Oryctolagus cuniculus: one gene and its partner. The protein of the gene in region 2 purifies or fractionates together with the protein of the main gene of each other region. This does not show direct contact. Links are inferred from orthologs where the notes say so. Each region holds a gene or a part of one and is shown on either strand. Other genes may lie near its edges. The genes, in order: RPLP2 and RPL14.

Region 1 (11,298 bases), on a different chromosome or scaffold from region 2:
CGGGGATGTACTTAAGGGATCGTGCCCCTGGCGTGGGGCCAGAGCCGCCAAGCGCTCTGGGCCTGAGAAACAAGCCGGGTCACAGGTGCGGGAGGGCTGGGCGGTGACTGCCCAGGGTGAGCAGGAAAGGGGTGCAGGGTTGAGAGCGGGGTCCTGGAGGGGGACACAGCCCGACTGAGGAGGTGGGAGGGTGTGGCCAGGGACTGCCAGGAGACCCTCAGAGGGAGGGGCCAGCGCCCCAGGGCCACCCTGGAAGGTCCAGGGGGCTCACAAGGCACTGGACCTCCTCCCCAAGATCTGTTGCCAGGAGGCCGGGAGGCCGGCCTCGGCCCTCCGCGGCAGCCGGGCCCGACACCTCTTACCCGGTTTCCACAGCACCAGGGCCACTCTGGGGACAGACCCCTCCTCCAGCAGGCTGGGAGCCAGGGTCAGGGCGGGTGATTCCTGGAATCCTGGCCTGGGCTGGGCGCCGCGCTCCCTGGAGGCTCGGGTCACCGCTGCCCCCACAGCCCCTGGCCCCCCAGCCTACTCCACTAAGGGGCTTTCCGGAGGGGCTGCGCTGGAACCCGAGCCCCTGCAGTCAGGGCGCCCCCACCCAGCCGAGCCCGGGCGCAGCGACTCCTCCGCTGCGCACAGCCGGTCAGAGGCACGGCCCCCACGGGCAGCTGCTCCACGGCGCCCTGCTAACGCGTCAAAGGCCTCCTGGGCCCCCGCACCCCTGGGAGACGTGGACGCAGCTCGGGGCGCTGGCCGTGGGCTGGCCCAGCTCGTCCTCACGGCCGTCCGGGGAGTGACCGGCGGTGGAGGCTCCGCCCCCCTCAGCCTTTCACGCACAGCGTAGCAGAAAACAGCAGAGAAATCTCGGGTCCGCGGCCCTCAGGGGGCGCCCCGCAGCCCTCCCCGCACAGAGAGACTCAGAGGCTCCGGTACAAAGGCTTTATTGGGGGGGGGGGGGGCTAGTCGAACAGGCCGAATCCCATGTCGTCGTCCGACTCCTCGGACTCCTCCTTCTTCTCCTCCTTCTTCTCCTCGGCTGCAGGGACAGAGGCAGTGAGCGGCCGCCCGCGGAGACCCCAGCCCACGCCCCGGCTCCCCGCCCACTCACCTGCGGCGGGCGCCGAGCCGGCAGCAGGGGCCGCGGAGCCCGGGGCGGCAGAGACGGCCACAGCCGTGCCGGCGGGCACACTGGCCAGCTTGCCGATACCTGGGGGAGGCGGGGGGAGCGATGCCTGGAGGGCCCTCGCCGGCACAGCCCTTGGGGGGGGATCCCGCGGCCCCAAGACCCCGTCTGCAAACTCGGCTTTTAAATTACCAAGTCTCAGCACCGCGCGCCACGCGCAGCAGAGCCGTAGGAGCGCCCCCAACGGGACTGCCCGCACCGCGCGCGAGCGGGGCCGTAGGAGCGCCCCCAACGGGACTGCCCGCACCGCGCGCGGGAGCGGGGCCGTAGGAGCGCCCCCAACGGGACTGCCCGCCCCGCGCACGGGAGCGGGGCCGTAGGAGCGCCCCCAACGGGACTGCCCGCACCGCGCACGGGAGCGAGGCCGTAGGAGCGCCCCCAACGGGACTGCCCGCACCGCGCGGGAGCGGAGCTGTAGGAGCGCCCGCCCGGGACCGCCCCGACGCCGACCCCGACGCCGGCGCCCGCGCCGCTCCGCCCTGCTCTGGTCCACAAGCGAACCCTGGCGGGCCACGAGCCGGCCGGCAGGGATTAGGATGGACCCCCGCCCGCAGCCCGCGCCCCCCGCTCACCCTGCGCGATCACGTCCTCGATGTTCTTCCCGTTCAGCTCGCTGATGACCTGGCGGGGACACGCGCGGGGCGCTCAGCACGGGCGCGGGGGCCCGCACGCTCGGCGGCGGCGTGACCGGCCCAGCCCTCCCGCGCCCCCACCTTGTTCAGCCGGTCGTCATCCGCCTCGATGCCCACGCTGTCCAGGATCTTCTTGATGTCTTTGGCGCTGGGCGAGGAGTTGCCCCCGAGGGCGGCCAGCAGGTAGGAGGCCACGTAGCGCATGCTGCGGGCGGCGGCGGCGTTACCGCGGCGACCCCCGCGCGCAGCCCGGGGAGGCCCCAGCCCCGCACCCCCGCCGACCCCGCGCCCGCTCCCGAGGCCCGGCGCTCCACTCACGCGGCGGCGGCGGCGGACGGGCCTCACGCGTGCGACCTCGGCGGCGTCCGGGGCGGAAAGGAAGGCGCCGGCGCAGTGGGCGGGGGTAAACCGCTACCCAGAAGCCTCTGCGCCGGAATGCGAGGCGCCTCCGGATGACGTCCGCGGCGCGCAGCCAATGACGGCAGGAGAGGCGCCATCGTTCGCTGCCTACCCAGGCGGTCGCCGTGGCAAAAGCGAAAGATTGTTCCCGGACTGGCTTCCCGGATACCGTAGGGCCGAAGGTCCCTGGATATGGGCAGGGCGGCGGGCGAAGAAGGCTGACCGGGACTTCGTCTGCCTTCCGCGCCTCGCGCTCCCAGCATGCCACGCGGCGCCTACAGAGCCCAGCATGCAGCGCGGCCGCCACGCGCGTGCGCATCTCGTGCCGCGAACCACGAGTCCCATGATGCACCGCTACCGGAAGTCGCGGCCCCTGCCGGCCTGGAGCGGCCGCACGTGGGCGCGGCGAGCCTGCGCGCCCAGCCGCCTCGCCTGGGCCCCGCGCGCGACACGAGGTCTGCGTGACCGGCCGATGGCGTCCGTGTTCTCGCCCGCGCTGGCCGCGCGTCCGTCCCGGCACGCGTGGCTCAGTCACCCGCTCGGGCCCGCGACCCGGGTCATGGGGGCCCCACCCTTGCTGGGGTAGTAGAGAAAGACGGGTCTTGTGCGGCCTGGGGAAGCGTCCCTGAGCTGAGAGGGGACAGGGAGCCAGCCCGGCGCGCGTCCTGATGGGCTCCAACCGGAGCGCAAGTCCCCGCGCGTGGGTCAGGACCCAGTGTGTGAGCGCACCCCGAGCCCCCAAGCGTGGGGTCAGGAGCCGTGTGTGAGCGCGCCCCCCCCCGAGCCCCCGCGCGTGGGGTCAGGCCCGGTGTGTGAGCGCGCCCCCCCCCGAGCCCCCGCGCGTGGGGTCAGGCCCGATTGTGAGCGCACCCCGAGTCCCCGCGCGTGGGGTCAGGAGCCGTGTGTGAGCGCGCCCCACCCCCGAGCCCCCAAGCGTGAGATCAGAACCCGGTGTGTGAGCGCACCCCGAGCCCCCGCGCGTGGGGTCAGGCCCGGTGTGTGAGCGCGCCCCGAGCCCCCGCGCGTGGGGTCAGGCCCGGTGTGAGGGCGCCCCCCCCCCGAGCCCCCGCGCAGGGCGTCAGGAGCCGTGTGTGAGCTTGGGCCGCAGGCCGCCCCTCTAACGCAGGAGGACCCTGGGCACTCGGGAAGTGGGAGGCCAAGTCCTGGCGAGGGCGGACTCCGGTGCAGCCCCAGAAGCAGCTGTCCGATGCTTCACGCAGAGATGGGTGCGTTGCTGGGTTTTTGGTGATCGCCACCTTTCTGAACCGTGCAGTTCGCGGAGGCCGCGTCACTGCTGTGGCCTCACAGCCCCGCCTGGTCCCTGGGCTGCACCCCCAGCCTTAGCGACCCCCATACACTCACAGCAGAGCTACAGAGCGAGGGAGACAGACGTCTTTCATCTGCTGGTTCACTCCTCAAATGGCCACAACTGCTGGGGCTGGGCCAGGCTGAAGCCAGGGGCCTGGAGTTCCATCCGGGTCTCCCACGTGGGTGCGGGGGCCCAGGTGCTCTCCCAGGGCGTCAGCAGAGCTGGATCGGAAGTGGAGCAGCCAGGAACCAGTGCGCATGGGGTGCCAGGGTTGTTGCACCGCGCCAGCCCCCTGGGTCTCTGTGTGTCGTTTTAAATACGTATTTATGTGGAAAGCAGAGCGAAGGGAGACAGCCAGGTCTTCCACCCGCTGGTCCATTCCCCACATGGCTGCCACGGGGAGGCCGGGCTGCAGCCGGGATCCAGGAACTCTGAGTCTCCCCTGTGCGGGGCGCCCGGAGCACCCGGGGGGGGGGCTGCATGGGAGGTGGAGCAGCCAGGACCCAACCAGGCCTCCTGGAGGGCGCTCCTGCTGCCACAGGGTGCCTGCCCTGCTCGTCTATTTAATAGATTTGAAAGGCAGACAGAGGGGCGGGCGCTGTGGCAGAGCAGTGAGGCTGCCACCTCAAAAATAGGTGGGGCCGGCGCCGCAGCTCAATAGGCAAATCCTCCACCTTGCACACCGGGTTCTAGTCCTGGTCGGGGCGCCGGATTCTGTCCCGGTTGCTCCTCTTCCAGGCCAGCTCTCTGCTGTGGCCAGGGAGTGCAGTGGAGGATGGCCCAAGTGCTTGGGCCTTGCACCCCATGGGAGACCAGGAGAAGTACCTGGCTCCTGCCTTCGGATCAGCGCGGTGCACGGGCCGCAGTGCACCGGCCGCGGCGGCCATTGGAGGGTGAACCGATGGCAAAAGGAAGACCTTTCTCTCTGTCTCTCTCTCTCTCACTGTCCACTCTGCCTGTAAAAGAAAAAAAAAAAATAGGTGGCCCATACGGGCGCCAGTTCCAGTCCCGGCTGCTCCACTTCCAATCCAGCTCTCTGCTGTGGCCTGGGAAAGCAGTGGAAGATGGCCCAGGTCCTTGGGCCCCTGCACGCGCATGGGAGACCCGGGAGAAGCTCCTGACTTCGGATCGGCGCAGCTCCAGCCGTTGCAGCCATCTGGGGAGTGAACCAGCAGATGGAAGACCTCTCTCTCTCTCTCTCTCTCTCTCTCTCTCTCTCTCTCTCTCTCCCCCTCTCTCTCCTCTCCTTCTCTCTTTCTCCTCTCTCTGTGTAACTCTGAATTTCAAATAAATAAATATTTTTTTAAAAATAAAAGGCAGAAAGAGATCCATGAACTGGGTCAGTCCCCAGCTCAGAACAGCCAGGGCAGGGCCAGGCCAAAGCCAGGAGCCTGCAGCTCCATCCAGGTCTCCTGGGGGCGGGGACACCCGCTGTCTCCCTGGGGTGCAGCTGGGCCGGGGAACAGAGCTGGGGCTGTGGTGTCTGTGGGGGCTTCCTGTGGGTGGGGTCCCTCTTCCAGGGGAACGTGTCCAAGGTTCCTTCCTTAGCACCTATCACATTCACTCCTTTTCTCTCTCTCTCTCTCTTTTTTTTTTTCCCAGAGTGGTGGTTTTATTTTTAAATTTCTGTTTTCATTTTATTTGAAAGAGACTGAGATGTTCCAGAGACAGGTTCACTCCGCAAACTCCTAAACAGCCAGGGCTGGGCCAAGCCAAACTAGGAGCCTGGAGCTCAGTGGGCCCCCCCCCGTGGGGGGCAGGGGCCGAGTGCTTCAGGCATCTCTGCAGCCCCCCAGGTGCACAGAGCCAGGACCCTAACCTCTCGGCTGTAGGCTCCCAAGGGTACACCGAGTGCCCACCCCAAATACACTCCATGAGGCTCAGAAGTACCCCCCTGATTGGGCCTATGAAGGATCCCCCCTTCAAACGGCCACTAGGCGGGCACTAGGAGGGAGGCCTGGCGGGAGCCGCGGGTCCACCTCGCGGCGGGCAGGGACGAGCAGGGGAGGGGCGGCGCGGGGAGGGCGCACAGGCCTGGCTGGGAGCACCTGGCACCTGTTCTGCTGGGTGACAACAGCCCCGCGTGCGGTGGGCGGGGGGCGTGTTTGGAGGGGCGGGGCCCAGAGTCCCCGCCTGCCCGCCCGGAAACGCGCGGGCGGGAAGCGGGAAGCGGGAAGCCGGGCGGGCGCCTGGACCCGGGTGCGCGGCGCCGCGACCCGGCCGGGGTGTGCAGCTGCCCCCGACGCGAGGGACCGCGCTCCTTCCCTGGCGGCGGGGGCGGCGGAGCGTGGGCTCTCGGGGCTGAGCCGCGCGGTAGGTGCGGGTCCTAGGCACCGCGGTCCAAGCCGATGCGCGAGAGGGTCGAAGGTGGGCTCTTAACCCCAGGACTGGGGCAGACTGGGCTCCCCACCCCAGGCAGCGCTGTCCACGCTCGGTGCCCCTCAGACGCTGGACCACAGCCCCCAACAGTGACCCTGCAGAGCCCAGGCTGAGGGGGAGGGGGAGAGACCCAGCCCCCATCACACTCACTCCTCTCCCTGCCTCGCAGCTTCCCAGGGCCTGCCTGAGCAGGCCTGCTCTGCGAGCTGGGACATGCCTGGCCCCCAGGGACGGCCGGGGGGTGACGATGGCCACAGTGGCGGAGGGGCTGGAGCCCGAGGCAGCTGCCACGGGAGATGCTGCAGCAGCGGCGGCGGTGGGTGCCGGGCCCGGGGCGGCTCCTCTCCTGGCCGGGAAGCAGCTGAACTTGGACCTGTACCCCGCGGGCTGCCAGCGACTGCTGCACCTGTGCGCCCAGCAGCCGACGCAGCTGCTGCAGGTGGAGTTCCTGCGGCTGAGCACCCACGAAGACCCCGGGCTGCTGGAGGCCGCCCTGGCCCGGGTGCCTGCACGCCTGCCCCGCCTCCGCTCCCTGGTCCTCAAAGGTGAGCCCGGCCGCGGCGTCTGACCCTCTCCCCACCCCTCCCTGCTGCCCTGCCTCAGGCCCGCCCCCACCCATCAGCTGCCCTGGTCCGCCGTCCCCTGCGCTCTGTGGAGCCTGGCTCCCCCTGAGCAGATCCAGTGTGGACGCCGCTCCTGGGGAAGGACGTGGGCGGCGCTGCCTGGGGCTGAGCCATGGCTCCATCCCTGCGCCCTCCGCCTGCAGCACCGAGCCCGCGTCTGCCTGTCCCCATGCAGCGCCAGGTGCGGGGGCCAGCAGGGCCGAGCTGGCAGCCAGGGCCCTGGCTCTGAAGGTCACGTCTGCCCCTCCCCGTCCCAGGAGGCCAACGCCGGGACATGCTGGGTGCCTGCCTCCCGGGCACCCTGACCACGCTGCCAGCCAGCCTGAGTGGCCTGGGCCGCCTGGCCCACCTGGACCTGAGCTTCAACAGCCTGCGGACGCTGCCGGCCTGCGTCCCACACATGCGCAGCCTGGACGCTCTCCTCCTGTCCCATAACCGCCTCTCGGAGCTGCCCGAGGCCCTGGGAGCCCTCCCTGCCCTCACCTTCCTCACTGTGACGCACAACCGGCTCCGGGCGCTGCCCGCGACGCTGGGGGCGCTGTCCACCCTGCAGCGCCTCGACCTGTCTGAGAACCTGCTGGACTCCCTGCCCGCCGCCATCGGGGGCCTAAGCCGCCTCTCTGAGCTCAACCTGGCCTCGAACGCGCTGCAGAGCGTCCCGGCCTCCCTCGGTGAGTGGCAGCGGAGGCCCTGGGCTCCTGGGGCAGCACCCTGCAGCCTCACATGGGCTCTGGCCCCTCTCCGCTTCTGTAGGGGCCCCTGCACCCGCAGCCTGCCCTCAGCCCAGCCTTCAAGGCCTCCATGAGGCCCACTGAGTCTGCCAAGGGGCGGTGTCCGCGAGGGTGGCCCCCGCAGGCCCCCCCTCCCGGCGCTAAGCCGGCCCCGCCTGCCTGCAGCCCGCCTCCGGTGCCTGCGGCTCCTGGTCCTGCACAGCAACCGCCTCACCTCCGTGCCCGCTGACCTGGCCGGCCTCCCGCTGCTCGCCCAGCTGGACCTGAGGGACAACCAGCTCCGGGCCGTGCCCCCTGAGCTCCTGGACGCACCCTTCGTGCGCCTGCAGGGGAACCCCCTGGGCGAGGCCCCAGCAGCCTCCCCGAGTCCCCCAGGTAGGCCTGTTGCCAGGGAGGGGCACCACAGGGGAGACGCGGGCGGTGGCACCCCCCAGGATCTGTCCGCCCCTCCCGCAGGGACCCCCATGGATCCGGAGATGCCTCGGCTGCGCCTGACCTCGGACGCGGGCAGGTACCGGGCAGGGCTGGAAGAGCGGCCAGGACGTGCCCTGGGGGTTCTGGCGTCCACGGGGGCCCTGTGTGTGTGACCGACGCTCCTCCACCCTCAGCTTTCCCGTCACCCCGTGGGGCTGCTCCGTGACCCTGGCCCATGGTGTCCGCCTGCTGTTCCCGGCCGGGGCCACCACCGCCCCCGTCACCATCCACTACCAGCTATGGCTGCCGCAGCCGGGCCTCGTCTCGCTGGGCCCTCACGACTCCCTGCTCAGCAGTGTCCTGGAGCTGTGGCCCCACGGGCTGACCTTCCGGCAGGCACGGCCAAGGCAGGTGGGGGGTGGGCGTGGAGCCCCCAGGCCCGGCTCTGGCCCTCACACGGCCCCCTGCCTGGCAGGATGTGAGCCTGTGGCTGCTTGTTGTCCCCCCACGGACCCAGCTTTGCCGTGAGGTGGTGGTCAGGACCCGGAGTGACGGCAGCTGGAGCGACCTGGAGACCTTCCTGGAGGAAGAGGCACCCAAAGTGAGAGCTGCCCAGGCCTGGCCTGGTGCTGTCCACCCCTGCCCGCTGTTTGCCTGGACCCCCGGCCTGACTCAGCCTCTCCTCTGACCCCTCCCCTGTCCCAGCGGCTCTGGGCCCGCTGCCAGGTGCCCCACTTCTCGTGGTTCCTCGTGGTTCTGCGCCCTGTGTCCGATGCCTGCCTGGTGCCGCCAGAGGGGACCCTGCTGTGCTCCTCTGGCCACCCTGGGGTCAAGGTCACCTTCCCCCCAGGGGCCACCCAGGAGCCTCGTCACGTGTCCATGCAGGTACGGCCAGCATAGGGCCATGGGCGGCTGGGGCGCCTCCGCGCACGGTGGACACTCAGGCGGCCTGTCTGCCCCAGGTGCTGCGCATGGCCGGCCGGGAGCTGCGAGCCCTGCTTGGGGAGCCTGGGGCCGCCGTGAGCCCCCTACTGCGCCTCTCGCAGAGCGGCCCCACGTCCTTCCTGCGGCCGGTCACCGTGCAGCTGCCCTTGCCCCCTGGCCTCACAGGTGAGAGGCGGCTGTGTGGCCCCTGGGCCGGTGGCCTGCAGGGCAGCCCTGCAGCGGGGCCTCAGCCTGCTGTCCCGTCCTGTCCAGGCCTCGACCTGGACCGTTCCCGCCTGCACCTGCTGCACCGGGCTCCTCCTGAGGCCACGTGGGATGACATCACGGCTGCGGTGGCGCTGGAGGTCACCCACCTGTATGCACGCTTCCAGGTCACACACTTCTCCTGGTCAGTGCCCCCCCCCCGCCCTCAGCCCCATCCCTGTGTGCCCAGCCCCTGGTCACTCCTCCTGGTCAGCCCCCCAGCCCCAGGTCACTGCTCCTGGTCAGCCCCCCCCAGCCCCTGGTCACTCCTCCTGTTCAGCCCCCCAGCCCCTGGTCACTGCTCCTGGTCAGCGCCCCCAGCCCCTTCAGCCCCGCCCCCGTCTGCCCAGCCCCCAGCTCACCCGCCCCCCAGGTACTGGCTCTGGTACACCACCAAGGCCCGCGTGGGGGACCTGGCCCGCAAGGCCTGGGAGCGGCTGCGGCTGCACCGCGTGAACCTCATCGCACTGCAGAGGCGCCGGGACCCCGAGCAGGTCCTGCTGCAGTGCCTGCCCCGCAACAAGGTGGGGCGGTGGAGGGGGCGGGCAGCAGGTGGCGGGCGTGGCAAGGCCTCGGGCTGCAGCGCGCCGGTGCCCGCAGGTGGACGCCACCCTGCAGCGGCTGCTGGAGCGATACCGCGGCCCCGAGCCCTCCGACACTGTGGAGGTGTTCGAGGGCGAGAAGTTCTTTGCAGCCTTCGAGCGGGGCATCGAGGTGGACGCTGGTAGGCTCTGTGCCCCCGGGGAGGGGCGGGTCCCTGGGTGCGCCCCCTGCTGAGCCCCCTGGCCCCCAGACCGCCCCGACTGCGTGGAGGGCAGGATCTGCTTCGTCTTCTACTCACACCTGAAGAACGTGAAGGAGGTGTACGTGACCACCGCCCTGGACCGGGAGGCTCAGGCCGTGCGAGGACAGGTGGGCGGGGCGGGGGCGGCGGTAGGGCCCGGGCTGCCCGGACACCCGCCGGAGCTCTGAACCCCGCCTGATCTCCCAGGTGTCCTTCTACCGGGGCTCGGTGCCCACGGAGGTGCCCAAGGAGGCCGCCCGGCAGAGGAAGGGTGCGGACGCCCTCTGGATGGCCACTCTGCCCCTCAAGCTGCCGGTGAGGGCAGGGGCAGGGCTGGCCCGGGGTGACGGAGTGTGGAGTGGCGTTAGGGGCTCACCGCACACTCTCCCTGCCACAGAGACTGCGGGCGCCCAAGGGGCGGGGGCAGGGGGCCAGCCTCTCCCTGGCACCTCTGAACCTGGGGGACGCTGAGAACGGCTTCCTGACTCAGGCCAACCTGCTGAGCGTGGCCGGGCGCCTGGGGCCCGACTGGCCCACGGTGGCCCTGCACCTGGGCCTGCCCTACGGGGAGCTGCAGCGCATCCGCCACGACTTCCGGTGAGGGGAGGCGGGGTGGGGCCGGCGCAGGCTGGGGAGGGAGGGTGCCGCCGCCGGGGGCCCAGGGAGCACGGTGCCAGCGCCTCTGCCCCCTCCCAGGGATGACCTGGACGGGCAGACCCGCCACATGCTGTTCTCCTGGGCCGAGCGCCAGGCCGGGCAGCCGGGGGCCGCGGGGCTGCTGGTGAGGGCGCTGGAGCAGAGTGACCGGCGCGACGTGGCCGAAGAAGTCCGCGCGGTCTTGGACCTCGGCCACCGCAAGTACCAGGACAGCATCCGGCGCACAGGCCTGGCCCCCGAGGACCCCCCGCTGCCGGGGCCTCCAGCCTCACAGGCCCTGGCCTAGGCCTGGCCGGCTTGGGCTGGGCAGAGCCCCCAGCGCCCGGCCTCTCAGTGGTCGCGTGTGCAACAAATACAGATGGTGCCATCTGCCTCCCGGAGCTCCGTTCATTTGTGGGGCGGAGGGGGGAGGCCGGGTGCCGAGAGGGCGGCCGTGGCGGCCGGGCAGGGGCTCTGTGCGCCGTGCATCTCCCCAGGGAGCCGGAGGAGCCTGTGCTACAAAGTACCCGCAGTGGCCGACCGGATACAAAGTTGCCCTGTGGCTGAGCTGTGTGTCCCTGCCCTGGCCGCCCGCTTGGCCAGTGGTCCCCAAGCGCGCCCACGTGTCTGGCTTGGGATTGGGACCCCCTCCCCTTCCACAGCACCCCCACCCGCGGCCCCTGGGGCCTCGGCCTGAAGAAGCGCTGCCTTGAGGGCCCGACTCCGGGCTCCCAGGTGCCGGCGGGCGCGCGGCGGCGGCACGGCCGGGCGCAGTGGCCCCGGCGGCCGGGAGGGGGAGCCGAAGCCCGCGTGCGGGCCGGGGCCGGGGCCGGGGCCGGGGGCGGAGCGCGCGCGGCGCCGAGCGGACGCGCCTCCCCGCCTAGGTGCTGGCGGGCGCGCGGCGCGGCGGGGAGGCGAGCGCGGCGCGGCTCGGCGGAGCGCGGTGAGTGCCCGGGGGCGGCCGCGTGCGCCCACTGGGGCGCGGCCGGGGCGCCTCGGCGCGGGGAGGTGACAGCGGCCGGC
Region 2 (12,167 bases):
GGCCGCGGGGTCCCAAGAAGGGAAGACCCTGAAACACTGCTTAAATGGAAAAGCCGATGACAAAAAGTCAAAGGAAAAGCCCTAACGAACAACAGATCACACGAACTTTTATACTGTGGATTACTATGCAGATATATGTATTCATATATAAATAGATACATTAACAGGGGCTGTCACAATTGTGTCAACTTGCCCAGGCTGGTAAAACATTTCTGGGTGTCTGAGAGTACTTCTGTAAGGGATTAGCATTTAATTGGTAGACTGAGTGAAGGTCACCCTCATCAGTGCAGATGGCCCCTTCCAATCTGTTGAGGGTCTGCACAGGACAAAACTTTAAAGGCCAGGTAACTGGCCTGAGCTGGTACGTCCACTTTCTCCTGCTCCTGGACGTGGGTGCTCCTGGTTCTTGGGCCTTGGAACTCTGATTGGAATTTACATCACGGGCCCCTCTGAGTCTCAGACATTTGGACTTGGGACTGCATAGCAACAGCAACTTTCCTGGTTCAGCTTATAGACGGCAGACCATGGGACTCCCTGGCACCGATCATCACAGCACCCGATACCTATAGATCTCCTTATCTAGCTTATTGGTCCTGCTTCTCTGCAGAACTGGAACTTAGCAATCTCCAGAATATATTTACAGAAAAAAAGCAAACTGCAGAGTATATACAGCCTATATTTGTTTAGAAACAAACGATGTCAACATTTTTATGTGAATACACAAGAGCACTTTAAAAAAAGTTCAGACAATGGAATTACATGTTGGTGCCCCCAGTTTTGTAGCCCATGGCTTTTTCATGGTTTGCATTGTCCATGAACTTTCTGAATACCCCTTTTATGGAGATTGTCGCTCCCCCTCTTCGTGGAGGAACGACACTAAGCCCCTGCGCTGTTCTTTCATCTGCTCGGCCCTCCCCGGGTTTGCTGCTGGTTCTTCCCGGGTTGGCTATTATCCCTTCCACCTCCGTGGAAGGGCAGTTCCCCCTGGCCACATTCCCCACTTCCGCAGGGGAGCGGCACACCGTCGGCCGGCTCTTCTCGGGGGCTGCACAGGTGTTCCTTCAGCTAGATGTTCCTGGTGCATGCCGTCTCTCTCCTCCTTTATAGTCCTCCTCCGCCAATCCTAACTCGGCTGCCCACACGCCGAGTACGCTGCTCTCCTCCAATCAGTAGCAAGTCCTACAGTTTATTAGTTGAACTGGAGGCAGCTGTGTGGAAGCTGTTTACTTCTCTCCCAGCGCCATATTGTGGGAGAGCAGATGCATAGAATAAGTCTTAATTCCAGTAACTCAGTCTAGTCCGGGTTGCTCCCCACAGAGATGCACAGTGAAACATCTGCAAGAGGTACCTAACATCCTAACATGTTCCTTTACATTGGGTACTGACAGTGGAAGCGGATAATTAAGGGGCCCTTGACTTCGACTATTTTACTATGGTAAATTTTTTTGATTAAGTCTGAAAAAAACATCAGCTAGTTGTTACTTTTAATTTAGGTAATAAAGGGAAAAATGGAATCTCATCTAGTATTTGAGAGGGAAAGTATGAATTAGAGGACATGCCAACTACCTAGAGGCTGGCTCCCTAAAAACTTGCCCAATGTTGTAATCTTGCCTGCTGAGCCAATCAAGCACAACACGATTTGAAACAAAATTACTGAGCAACAAATGGGAAATCCAACCAGGTGTTGACGTAAACTGCCAATTTCCTAAGCATTTCACTTCCTCCTTGACACAATATAAAGTAGGTGTTAGACCCATGCATGTGCAGTACAATGATCCTTGGTTCAATGACTGGACCTAAACCTGGATATGACTGTGGCACTGGTAACTATCCTGTTATACTCTAATGAGGGTAACTAGACAAGTGTGCAGTTCTTCATAAACAAAGTGGACTAGTGTCCCTGCACAATCTCTCTTGAGATTTCCTAGGTGCCACTTCAATGCTGCTCCTACCTTGAGTCTTTCTCATCCTGAGGATCCTGTGGATTAACCAAACTGCCCTCGAAGCCACTGGCTCTCCCCTTACCTTTACAGGGAGTTACAAACCAAAATAAGAGTGGGCAGGAAGAGCAAGTAAAGCATCCACCTGCAATGCTGGCACCCCACCGACTGCTCTGCATCTGACCCAGCACCCTGCTAATGGGCTGAGAAAAAAAGCACAGGATGGCTCAAGTGCTTGGGCCCCTGCTACCCATGTGGAAGTCCTGCAGAAGCTCCTTGGGCCTGCCTGGCCCAGATCTGGCTGTTGTGGCCATCTAGGGAATGAACCAGCAAATAAAAGAGTTCTATCTACCTTTCAAATAAATAAATCTTAAAAAAAAAAAAAATCACAAACCTGTTATTCTCCTATCCCCTTTGTCAGCATATGGTCCAACTCCTGTTTCCTGACAGTGAACATGGAGATTTTGTCGCTACTTTCTTCTACTCGCCCTGTAGAAGCCATCTTCTACAAGGGCTATCCTTTCATTAGATCTTTTCCCAACAGCTCCCAAACATGCTGTAGTCACTACAAAAACAAAACTTCTGAAAAACCTTAACATTTCCTTCCCTTAAAAAACCCTCTTTGAGCCACCTTAATCAGAATTCTTCTAGTGTCCCATCTCCAATGACTCCTACCTAATCTCTCCTGTTCAGTGTCTGGGCTACCTTGGACTACTGATACAACTGAATCCCATATTTGTCTTGAAACCTGGCATAGCTCTCATCATGACCAGTAAATGTAATTTAAAGCCACCCACTCTCCTCCACTAAAATGTGGTAGAGGAAAATAAACGGCAAGTTACCTGTATGACAGAATTTGTGCACTTGCCCTCATTTTCCCTTATTAGACTCTTGAACGTGAAAAGGCTTAAAATGTCACCTACTGAGGATCCCTTACCCAAAAACAGAGACAGCAGCATTTTAGCCTTCAGAGAATGTGCAACACCTACCAGTGGGGCTTAATCTGAAACTTGAAATTCTCAGGTTTTTTAGATTAGAGGAGTGGGAGAAAAACATCACTTTTTCTAATTATGACACCCCAAAAATGTAATAACCAGTTGTAACCTTATCATGGCTTTGCACTAACTGAATATAGAATCAATTTTCTATATGTTCACAATCCTATCAAGTTGCCTTACCCAAGCCCTAAAACCAGGCTTTAAATCCAGACATGGGGCTGGCACTCTGATGCAGTGGCTTAAAGTCCTGGCCTGAAGCTCTGGCATCCCATGTGGACACCAGTTCTAGTCCTGGCTGCTCCTCTTCCGACCCAGCTCTCTGCTCTGTCCTGGGATAGCAGAAGAAGGTGGCCCCTGCACCCACATGGGAGACCAGGAAGAACCTCCTGGCTCCGGATCGGCACAGCCCCGGCCATTGCAGCCATCTGGGTAGTGAACCAGCAGATGGAAGACCTGTCACTCTTTCAAATAAATAAAAAAAAATCCAGACGCATCATAAAGAACCTTTATTACTTTCTTAACAGCCTCTCATGCTTTCTTGCCAGATGCCTTTGGCGCAGGTGCTTTCTGGGCTGGAGGCTTCTGGCCCTTCTGAGCTTTAGGAGGCTGCGCTGCCTTCTGGCCCGCGGCTTTCTGGGCCGGAGCCTTCTGAGCCGGAGCCTTCTGGGCTGCAGCCTTCTTGCCCGCAGCGGTCGCCTTTTTCGCTGGAACCTTGGCAGCGGCGGCGGGGGCGGCTACAGCACCCTTAGCAACAGGGGCTTTTTTGGGAGAAGCTTTCAGCAGAGCTGCCCTCTGAAGCTTCTTGACTTCATTCTTGATTATTCTGTTCCTCTGCAGAATGTCAATGTAGGGAAGCATTTATCGTACACACACACACACAAAACTCCAATGCATCCTCATCTTTAGAAAGGGCATTAACTGATCAGTTTACCACGAGTTCCATAAGGACATGGAATGGGCGCTGGCTATAATTCATGAGATCAGAGAACACGGATATCTTAACATACTTACCATTTTCTTTGCTTTCATGACTTTATAACGGTCAAAATCTGTCATCTTAGCTTTCTGGAAAGAAAAAAAAAAGTATTATCCCTCATATACTACCTGCCAAAACACCCCAAAAAAGTTCAGGATTCAAGTTATCGTAAATCGTTACCCTTTCTCTGGCTTCAATTTTCTTGGCCCATCTTGTGGCTGCCCATTTTGTATTGATGTCTGCCTTCTCCCAGGCTTTTCGGACATATTTCTGGCGGGCACTACACAGATCCAAGACAATAGATTAAAAGTCAGCTTTGAAATCATGATAAAGGGAAAGCTGGTCAGCTTTATCTGTTCAATATAGACACATTCCTCCAAGCACACTGTATCTTACCTTCTTACCTGTTTGAACGGTGTTCACTAAGCCAGGAGAGCCTATAACTTTAAGCACCATCTCTACAATCTAGTCCATCTTAGTTTTTAAAAGATTTATTTATTTGAAAGGCAGAGAGAGTCTGTCTGCTGGTTTATTCTCCAGATGATTGACACAGCCAGAGCTGGGCCCATCTGAAGCCAGGAACTTCTTCCAAGTCTCCCATCTGGGTGCAGGGGCCCAAGTACTTGGGTCATCCTCTACTGCTTTCCCAGGCCACAGCAGAGAGCTGGATCGGAAGTGGAGCAGCCAGGACTCAAACTGGAGCCCAAATGGGATGCCAGCACTGCAGGTGGTGGTCTTACATGCAATGCCACAGCACTGGCTCCCATTTTATCTTCAAAAACCAGCACTCAAAAGCCCACTGCGCACATGCTAGGCACTGAGGGAGGGACTCAGCACAAAGCAGTTTTGTTTCTACAATATATATTTTTTGTGAATGAGGGGGTGAGTAGCAAAATCCAGACAGACTATCTGAGCAAAATTATCCGTGTATCCGTGAAACACTTTCCCAAACAGCACATGGCCCACAACAGTCATGGGGGGGGGGGGGGGACCACGGAACAGGACTGGCACAACAGGAAGTATTTTCATTTCCATGTAGAAAAAACACCATTCATCACCGCTTCAATTCCCTGTACGCAAACTAACACTAGAAATTCTTAGGTTAAATACCACCTGTCAAGACACTGAAAATTCAATTATGTGAACAGGTGATAGTTGGTATTTCTGTTTTAATGCTGAAAGTAATCAAGTGACTATGTTCTGTAGAGCAATCAGAATTCCTATAGGAGGATTTTGTTAGTAAACAAAGGAGGACGACAGAAGAGACTGTCAGGTGTAAATAAAACCATACAGCACCAACAGAGTACAAAAAGAACCATAGGACACTGCCAAAGAACACAATACCCATCTACGTCTTTTAAATAACTATTCATTTGGGGCCAGCGCTGTGGCACAGGGGGTCAATGCCCTGGCCTGGAGCACTGGCATCCCATATGGGTGCTGGTTCAAGACCGGGTTGCTCCACTTCTGATCCAGCTCTCTGCTATGGCCCGGGCAAGCAGAAGACCCAAGTCCTTGGGCCCCTGCACCCACGTGGGAAGACCTGGGAAGAAGCTCCTGATCAGCGCAGCTCCAGCCGTTGTGGCTAATTGGGGAGTGAAACATCGGATGGAAGATCTCTAACTCTTTCAAATAAATAAATAAATCTTAAAAAAAAAAAAAAAAAAAAGACCTAGTATTTAAAAGGTAGAGCTCACTCCCCAATTGCCAGTGACAGCTAGGGCTGGGCCAGGTCAAAGCTAGGAGCCTACAGTTCAGTCCAGTTTTGACATATGGGTATCAAGGACCCAACTACTGGAGTCATCCTCCATGATGGATGGGCATTAGTAGGAGGCTGGCAATGAAGTGGAGCCAAGACTCAAACCCAGGCATTCCGATGCGGGCATCCCAAATGCCACCTCAACCACTACCAAACACCCACCCCACCTGTGTACTTCTAGAACGTACATCCCTCTTCTGAACCGCATTGCCTGCTGTGTTTTCAAAGGAAATACAGTGACATCTTTTCTTAATTATGCTAAGCAAAGTACCCTCGACCCAGGGAGGGGGGAAGCCTGGCGGTCAGTTACCTGTGTGGAAACTTGAGAATGAAGTCAGTCAGCTGCATGCACTTGAAAGGCATGGCCTGTCTCCTCACCCGGGTGCAGGGTCCATCAACCAAAGCCTGGAACACAAAGATCAAGGAGCTCAATGCAAAACGTACCAGGAACTAAATGGAGAGCTGGTCCACTGCCATGTGGTCAGCCCCTGAATCTGTTCCTTTCTTCTACTGACAACAGGAAGCAAGTGTCTCCTGGGCTCTTATCTGTCCTAAACTCGACTCACACATAGTAACTGCTTCGGCCCCTCAAAGTTGAAGCGGCTTGGGATTCGTTCTCGAACTCAATCATGGCAAAATCAAGTCCACCCTACTCGTCTCAATGATTAAACACTGTCGCTACCCACCGGACTCCCACCTCGGAGGCCCCCGAAACGGCCGCCGTGACCGACAGCGCCGACCACCCACCGCCACTCACCCTGTTCTGGTCAATGACATCCACGATGGCGACCAGCTTCCCGGCATGAGGCCCGAAGGAGACGTAGGCCACTCGGCCAACCTCCACGAAGCGCCTGAACACCTACAACGAGTGGGGAAAAAAACGGCATTAAAAAAAAAAAAACAAAAAAAAAAAAACAAAAAAAACAAGGCCAGCCTGCCCAAGCTCCGCCCGGCTCGGGCGGCCGCGGCGAGCAGCCCGCAGCCTCAGCCGTCCAGCCCAGCCCCGCCAGGGCGCAGGGCTCGCGTGGCCCGGGGCGCGCCCGGCCCGTCGGGCCCTCCACGCGCTCGCTAGCAGCGCTCCCGGCACGGCCCGCACCCCGCGCACAGCCTGCTCGAGGACCCTCACCGCGCACTTCCCACGACCCTCCAGCCGCCATTAAGCGCTTGGGCTCCCCCGCCGCGGCGGACGCCGAGCAGCATGCTCGCCGAAGCGGGAGCCAGGAACGACGCGACTCACCATGTCGGCGGCGTTCGGCGAGAAGGAAGAAGGCCCGCCCTCCGCTGCGCAAGCGCAGAAGGCCGCCCACTCGTGCGGCGACCGACACGCAGACGTGGGCGCCGATTGGTCGTGCGTGCTTGCGTACTTGCGTGCTGCGTGCGCGCGCGCGGGGCTCGCTGGGAAAACATGGCGGAGCCGGCTTTCTCTCTGAGGCGAGTCTCTTGTAATCTGGCTAGGTTTGGTGATTGGCCTAGGTGAGTTGCATTCCTGGGTCGTTAGGTTACAGGACCGCACAGAAACTTTGCCTTACGTTAAAACTCTGCATCTTGCAGCCTTCTTTCTAATACTCAGTCCTCTGCGGGGTGTTTTTGGCTATGCAAATATTAGGGTTTTTGGTTTCTCACCTTCTCTAGGAAATCTTTGTTAACTTGTATTTTAACGTACAGAAACATAGTTTAAATAGGACTAATGATTCCCAGAAATCCTTCTAGGTTCCTTGGATGCTATTTACGTTTCTTTTATCCTATCATCTAATTGTAAACCATTTGAGAGGAAACTCAGGCGGGATGTCCCATTATCTCTAACCTCTTAAATGTGTGCTTCCTAACAACCAAGGCGTTCTTTAACATTATCAGTTATAAAATTCTGGACGATTGGGTTCCGCGCTGTGGCGTGTCAGATTAAGCCGCCATCTCGGTTTCCACTGTCTGCCGCTCGACTCCAGTCCAGCTCCCTGCTAATGCACCTGGGAAAGCAGTGGAGGATGGCCCAGGTGCCTGGGCAGGGTGCCCTGGGGAGACCCAGATGAAGCTCCTGAGTCCCGGCTTCGGCCTGGTCCAGCCCCAGCCATTGCGACCATCTGGGGAATGGACCAGCAAGTGGAAGGAACATCTCTGTCTCCTTCTGTAACTCTGACTTTCAAATAGATAAATAAATCTCTTTTTTAAAAATCTGAAGGTTTATACAATTCTCATCAGTTCTGCGGTATCAAATGCTATCAGTTGTCCCATTTCAAGAAAATTAGAAAAAATGGCCTTGGTTACTTGGTCTCCTGCCACCCTTATGGGACAACCAGGATGGAGTTCCTGGCTCCTGGCTTCTGCCTGGCCCAGCCTTGGCTGTTGCAGGCATTTGGGGAGTGAAGAGTGGATGGAAGATCTGTCTCTCCCTCTCTGCCTTTCAAATAAATACAACCTAAAAAAAAAAATTTTTTCCCCTGGCTCAGTATGATCAAGGATTATGAGTTCCACCTAGTTATCAGGTGTCTACTGTTATTACTTTTCAGTGTATTTTTAAAGTTTATTTGAAAGAGACAAACAAGGTCTCGCACGTAGGTAGCAAGGACCCAAGCACTTGAGCCATCACCTGCTGCCCACCAGAGTGCGCATTGACAGGAAACTGGAATCAGAAGCAGGGCCAGGATTCAAACCCAGACACTCCAGTCTGGGATATGGGTGTCCCAAGTGACATTTTAACCATTGTGCCAAACACCTGTCATTCTACTGTTTTTTTTTTTTTTAAGTCTGCAATCATTCCTAAGCCTTTCGTAGTTTTTCTTGATACTTAACACTTCTAAACAGTACAGGCTAATTTTTTTAAAAGATTTATTTTATTATTTATTTGAAAGAGTTACAGAGAGAGAGACAGAGAGAGAGAGGTCTTCCATCCACTGGTTCACTCCCCAGATGGCCACAGTGGCCAGAGCTGAGCTGACCCGAAGCCAGGAGCCAGGAGCTTCCTCCAGGTCTCTCACACGGGTGCTGCTTTCCCAGGCCATAGCAGAGAGCTGGATCAGAAGAGGAGCAGCCGGGACTAGAACTGGCGCCCATATGGGATGCCAGCATTTCAGGCAAGGGCTTTAACCCACTGCACCACAGTGCCGACCCCCCCCCCCCACTTTTTTTTCAGGCTAATTGGTTTGGCAGATTGTCTCTCTCTCTCTCTCTCTCTCTCTCTCTCTCTCTCTCTCTATATATATATATATATATATTTTTTTTTTTTTTAAGAAATCCCAGTATGTGGAAACTGGCTGTCAAAGGTAGAAGGATCCATGAGACTCAAGAAAGACACAAACCAGTTCAGGATTACACAGAATGCAAGTTGGGGATTTTTAAAATCAACAGGAACAGAGTCTTGGGTAACCCAAGACAAGTGGCTGCCCACATCCAGAAGCCCAGGAAGCCCCTGGCCAGGCAAACTATCTTGGAGTTTTTCAAGAAATTTTAATAGTTTAGATGTCAATTAAAGGACATCCCAGGTGTCAGGCCTGACATGAGATGCCTAGCAGACTCCACGACAACTTTATCCCAAAGGTTTGGGATGAATGCCAGGATCGCCTAATTTTATTATTTTTTTTTAAATTATTATTATTTTTTTTTTGACAGAGTGGACAGTGAGAGAGAGAGACAGAGAGAAAGGTCTTCCTTTGCCGTTGGTTCACCCTCCAATGGCCGCCGCGGCCGGCGTGCTGCGGCCGGAACACCGCGCTGATCCGATGGCAGGAGCCAGGAGCCAGGTGCTTTTCCTGGTCTCCCATGGGGTGCAGGGCCCAAGCACCTGGGCCATCCTCCACTGCACTCCCTGGCCACAGCAGAGAGCTGGCCTGGAAGAGGGGCAACCGGGACAGAATCCGGCGCCCCAACCGGGACTAGAACCCAGTGTGCCGGCGCTGCAAGGAGGAGGATTAGCCTAGTGAGCCGCGGCGCCGGCCCAGGATCGCCTAATAGGCAGGATGGAAACCAAGAAGGCTGCGGTTGTGTCAAGCTGAATCCCTACAGTGTTGCTGGCAGTCTCCTCGTGAAGAGTCAGACTGCACTTTCGATAGCAATGCTGTGTCCTTAGTGCATCACATAACACACTGCACAGTGTGACTGCCACTCTTCATCACTTAAGTGATCTTGGTGCTGACAGTTCCCAAATACATCTCAAGCCTTTCTCTAGGCTTTGTGCTGGCTCATTCCCCAGCACTGCCGCAGCAGCCTCCAAGGCCTGGCTCTCGCTATTCTCTGCTTGGCAGTCAGGGATCTTTAAAAGAAGCAAAGCAGTTCACACCACTCCTTAAGATGTTGTAACAGTATTTAAAATCTGAACAGCTTCCTGTGATCTTGCATCAAATGCTCCTATATCCAAATCCACTTAGACACTCCTTCCTCATCGTTGTATTTCAGCCACACTGGCCTTGCATAGGCCTAGGTCTCTCCTATGACCTTTGCACATGGTGTCTCCCCTGCAAGGGATGCTCTTCCATCTGCATGAGAACTCGTCTCTTTTCTTGGTTTCTTCTGATAGACTTAACCTGGCTACCACGTAAAAGTACCTTAGTCTCCCCTTGTCTGTTTTTATTTCCCTCTGGGTTATTATGACAGTTGTAATCATTTGACTTATTTTTCTGTCCACTTAGGTTATTGTAATTTTGTGCCAATTATAAATACTGTGAAGGCAGTATCCTGGCCATCTGCCCCCTACCCAGAACCCCACCTCCCCAGTCTGGGGCTGTCTTTTCTGTTGACCTTAGCACACTGCCACTCTGAGACTCAGATTAAGGTGAATGACTTAATCCTTAGGCCTCAGTATCTTGGCTTGCAATTCACAAAGTCAAAGACATGAATGAGAATATTCATACCAGCTTTTCTGTGTTGGTGGTGGTGGTGGGGCAGGAGTGAATAATAGCCCTTAATTGGAAACTACCCAAAGGCCCACAACAAGGGAATGAGCTTTGGTAGTCCGTACATGGAACTCGGGTGAATTTCACACCTAACACTAGTGAAAGTCAGCTGACACAAGGAATATATGCTGTGTGATTTTGTTTACATAGGGCTTAAACATCAAAACGAATAAATGGCTGCTAGGAGTAATGACTGTGTTTACCCTGGGTGCAGGCAGCAGTGTTTCTCCAGGAGTGTTTAGCTTGAGAAAATTCAAAACCTTGTCCTTAGGATTGGTGCATTTCCCCCTCCAAACATTTGTTAATATTAAAAGTTTTTCTAATGGAGTTTTGCAGGTTTTTTTTTTTTTTTTTAAGATTTATTTATTTGAAAGGCAGAGTTACAGAGAGGAGAGGCAGAGAGAGAGAGAGGTCTTCCATCCGCTGATTCACTCCCCAAATGGCCGTTACGGCCGGAGCTGAGCTGATCTGGAGCCAGGAGGCAGGAGCTTCTTCTGGGTCTCCCTCGCGGGTGCAGGGGCCCAAGGACCTGGGCCATTTCTACTGCCTTCCCAGGCCACAGCAGAGAGCTGGATCGGAAGAGGAGCAGCAGCCAGCACTCGAACCGGCCTCGAGTCCCTGTTTTAAATGTGCCATGAATCTGCGTTTCAAAACAAGCTCCCCAAATGGTTCACTGAACAAACTTTGAGATTCATTCAAATATTATAGGTTAGCTTTATTAATTATTTTAATATTAATAATAACAGCTTTCCCAACTGCACGATTTGATTCCATCCCCGGAAAGCTCGCTTTTACCCCCTGGCCACAGTATCAGCCGCAAACGCCCCGGCTTGGCGTCCAAGGCCCTCCACAGCCTCACCCCACAACGCGTTCCTGCCTTTGTCCCCGGCCGCCCGCTCTGCGCCCCAAGTCTCCGGCTTCTTTATGCAGGGGGCCGCCTGTCCTAGAACGTGCTCTTTCTCCCCGGAGAACCGTAGTGCACCCTCGAGAAGCATCTCCAGTCCCCTTCCCAGGCAGCCCCAGGCCGTCTTCACACTCCAAGTTCCTTTAACTCTCCCCAAGGAAGCCCTGTGCTCCTCGGGAGCCCAGGGTGTCAGGTCACAGCCGTTAGCAGGTACAGGACACCGGACGACCACTCGAAACGCGCGGGGCTCCGCTGACCGGCCACTTGCTTACCGGAAGCTCTCTTTGTCCAATCACAGAAGAAGGGCAAGTTGAGGGCGACGCCAGGAGTAAAGATGGGATCGTGGGCGCGCGCCCTTGTAGTTCGGCCTCCACGCGCAGAGCCACGCCCTCCTACGGTCCGCTCAACCGGTTCTTCCAATAACGGAGAGGAAGGGCAACTGAACGCCAGGAGCTGAGATGGCGTGCCGCATCGCTCCGCGGTTCTCGGTAGTTGACTCTGGACTCCCCCTTTGTCTAACGTTGCATCTTAAAGAGGAAGGGCGAGGCGAGGTCTGCACCTGTAGCAAACGTGGAGCCTGAAAGACAGTCTCGCACCTAGGATCGCTTAGCTGGTACTTGGTGGGAGCTGTCCCGAGAGCCGTGACCCGCTGCTGTTGTGGCAAGGGGCAGGGCGGGCCGGTGCTTCGGCTTCCCGTCGTGGGCGTG

Evidence for each region.
Region 1: the proteins of RPL14 (region 2) and RPLP2 fractionate together in Homo sapiens (co-fractionation; 3 studies listed by BioGRID and IntAct, with this or other methods). This does not show direct contact. The link is inferred for Oryctolagus cuniculus from reciprocal best matches to the Homo sapiens genes RPL14 and RPLP2.

What each region holds. Positions count from the first base shown.
Region 1 is NC_091432.1:328,487-339,784, reverse strand, and holds RPLP2 (large ribosomal subunit protein P2), read right to left. Parts: upstream 2,357-11,298; 5' UTR 2,131-2,356; intron 2,018-2,130; 5' UTR 2,017-2,017; coding exon 1,894-2,016; intron 1,802-1,893; coding exon 1,753-1,801; intron 1,205-1,752; coding exon 1,106-1,204; intron 1,034-1,105; coding exon 957-1,033; 3' UTR 923-956; downstream 1-922. Other genes in the region: PIDD1 (p53-induced death domain-containing protein 1), read left to right, coding at 6,147-6,444, 6,780-7,193, 7,419-7,628, 7,710-7,764, 7,862-8,063, 8,143-8,268, 8,373-8,552, 8,630-8,777 and 6 more. UniProt on the Homo sapiens protein: Plays an important role in the elongation step of protein synthesis.
Region 2 is NC_091441.1:107,171,743-107,183,909, forward strand, and holds RPL14 (large ribosomal subunit protein eL14), read right to left. Parts: upstream 7,006-12,167; 5' UTR 6,914-7,005; coding exon 6,911-6,913; intron 6,533-6,910; coding exon 6,431-6,532; intron 6,079-6,430; coding exon 5,984-6,078; intron 4,195-5,983; coding exon 4,095-4,194; intron 4,004-4,094; coding exon 3,950-4,003; intron 3,771-3,949; exon of another isoform or gene 3,770-3,770; coding exon 3,467-3,769; 3' UTR 3,430-3,466; downstream 1-3,429.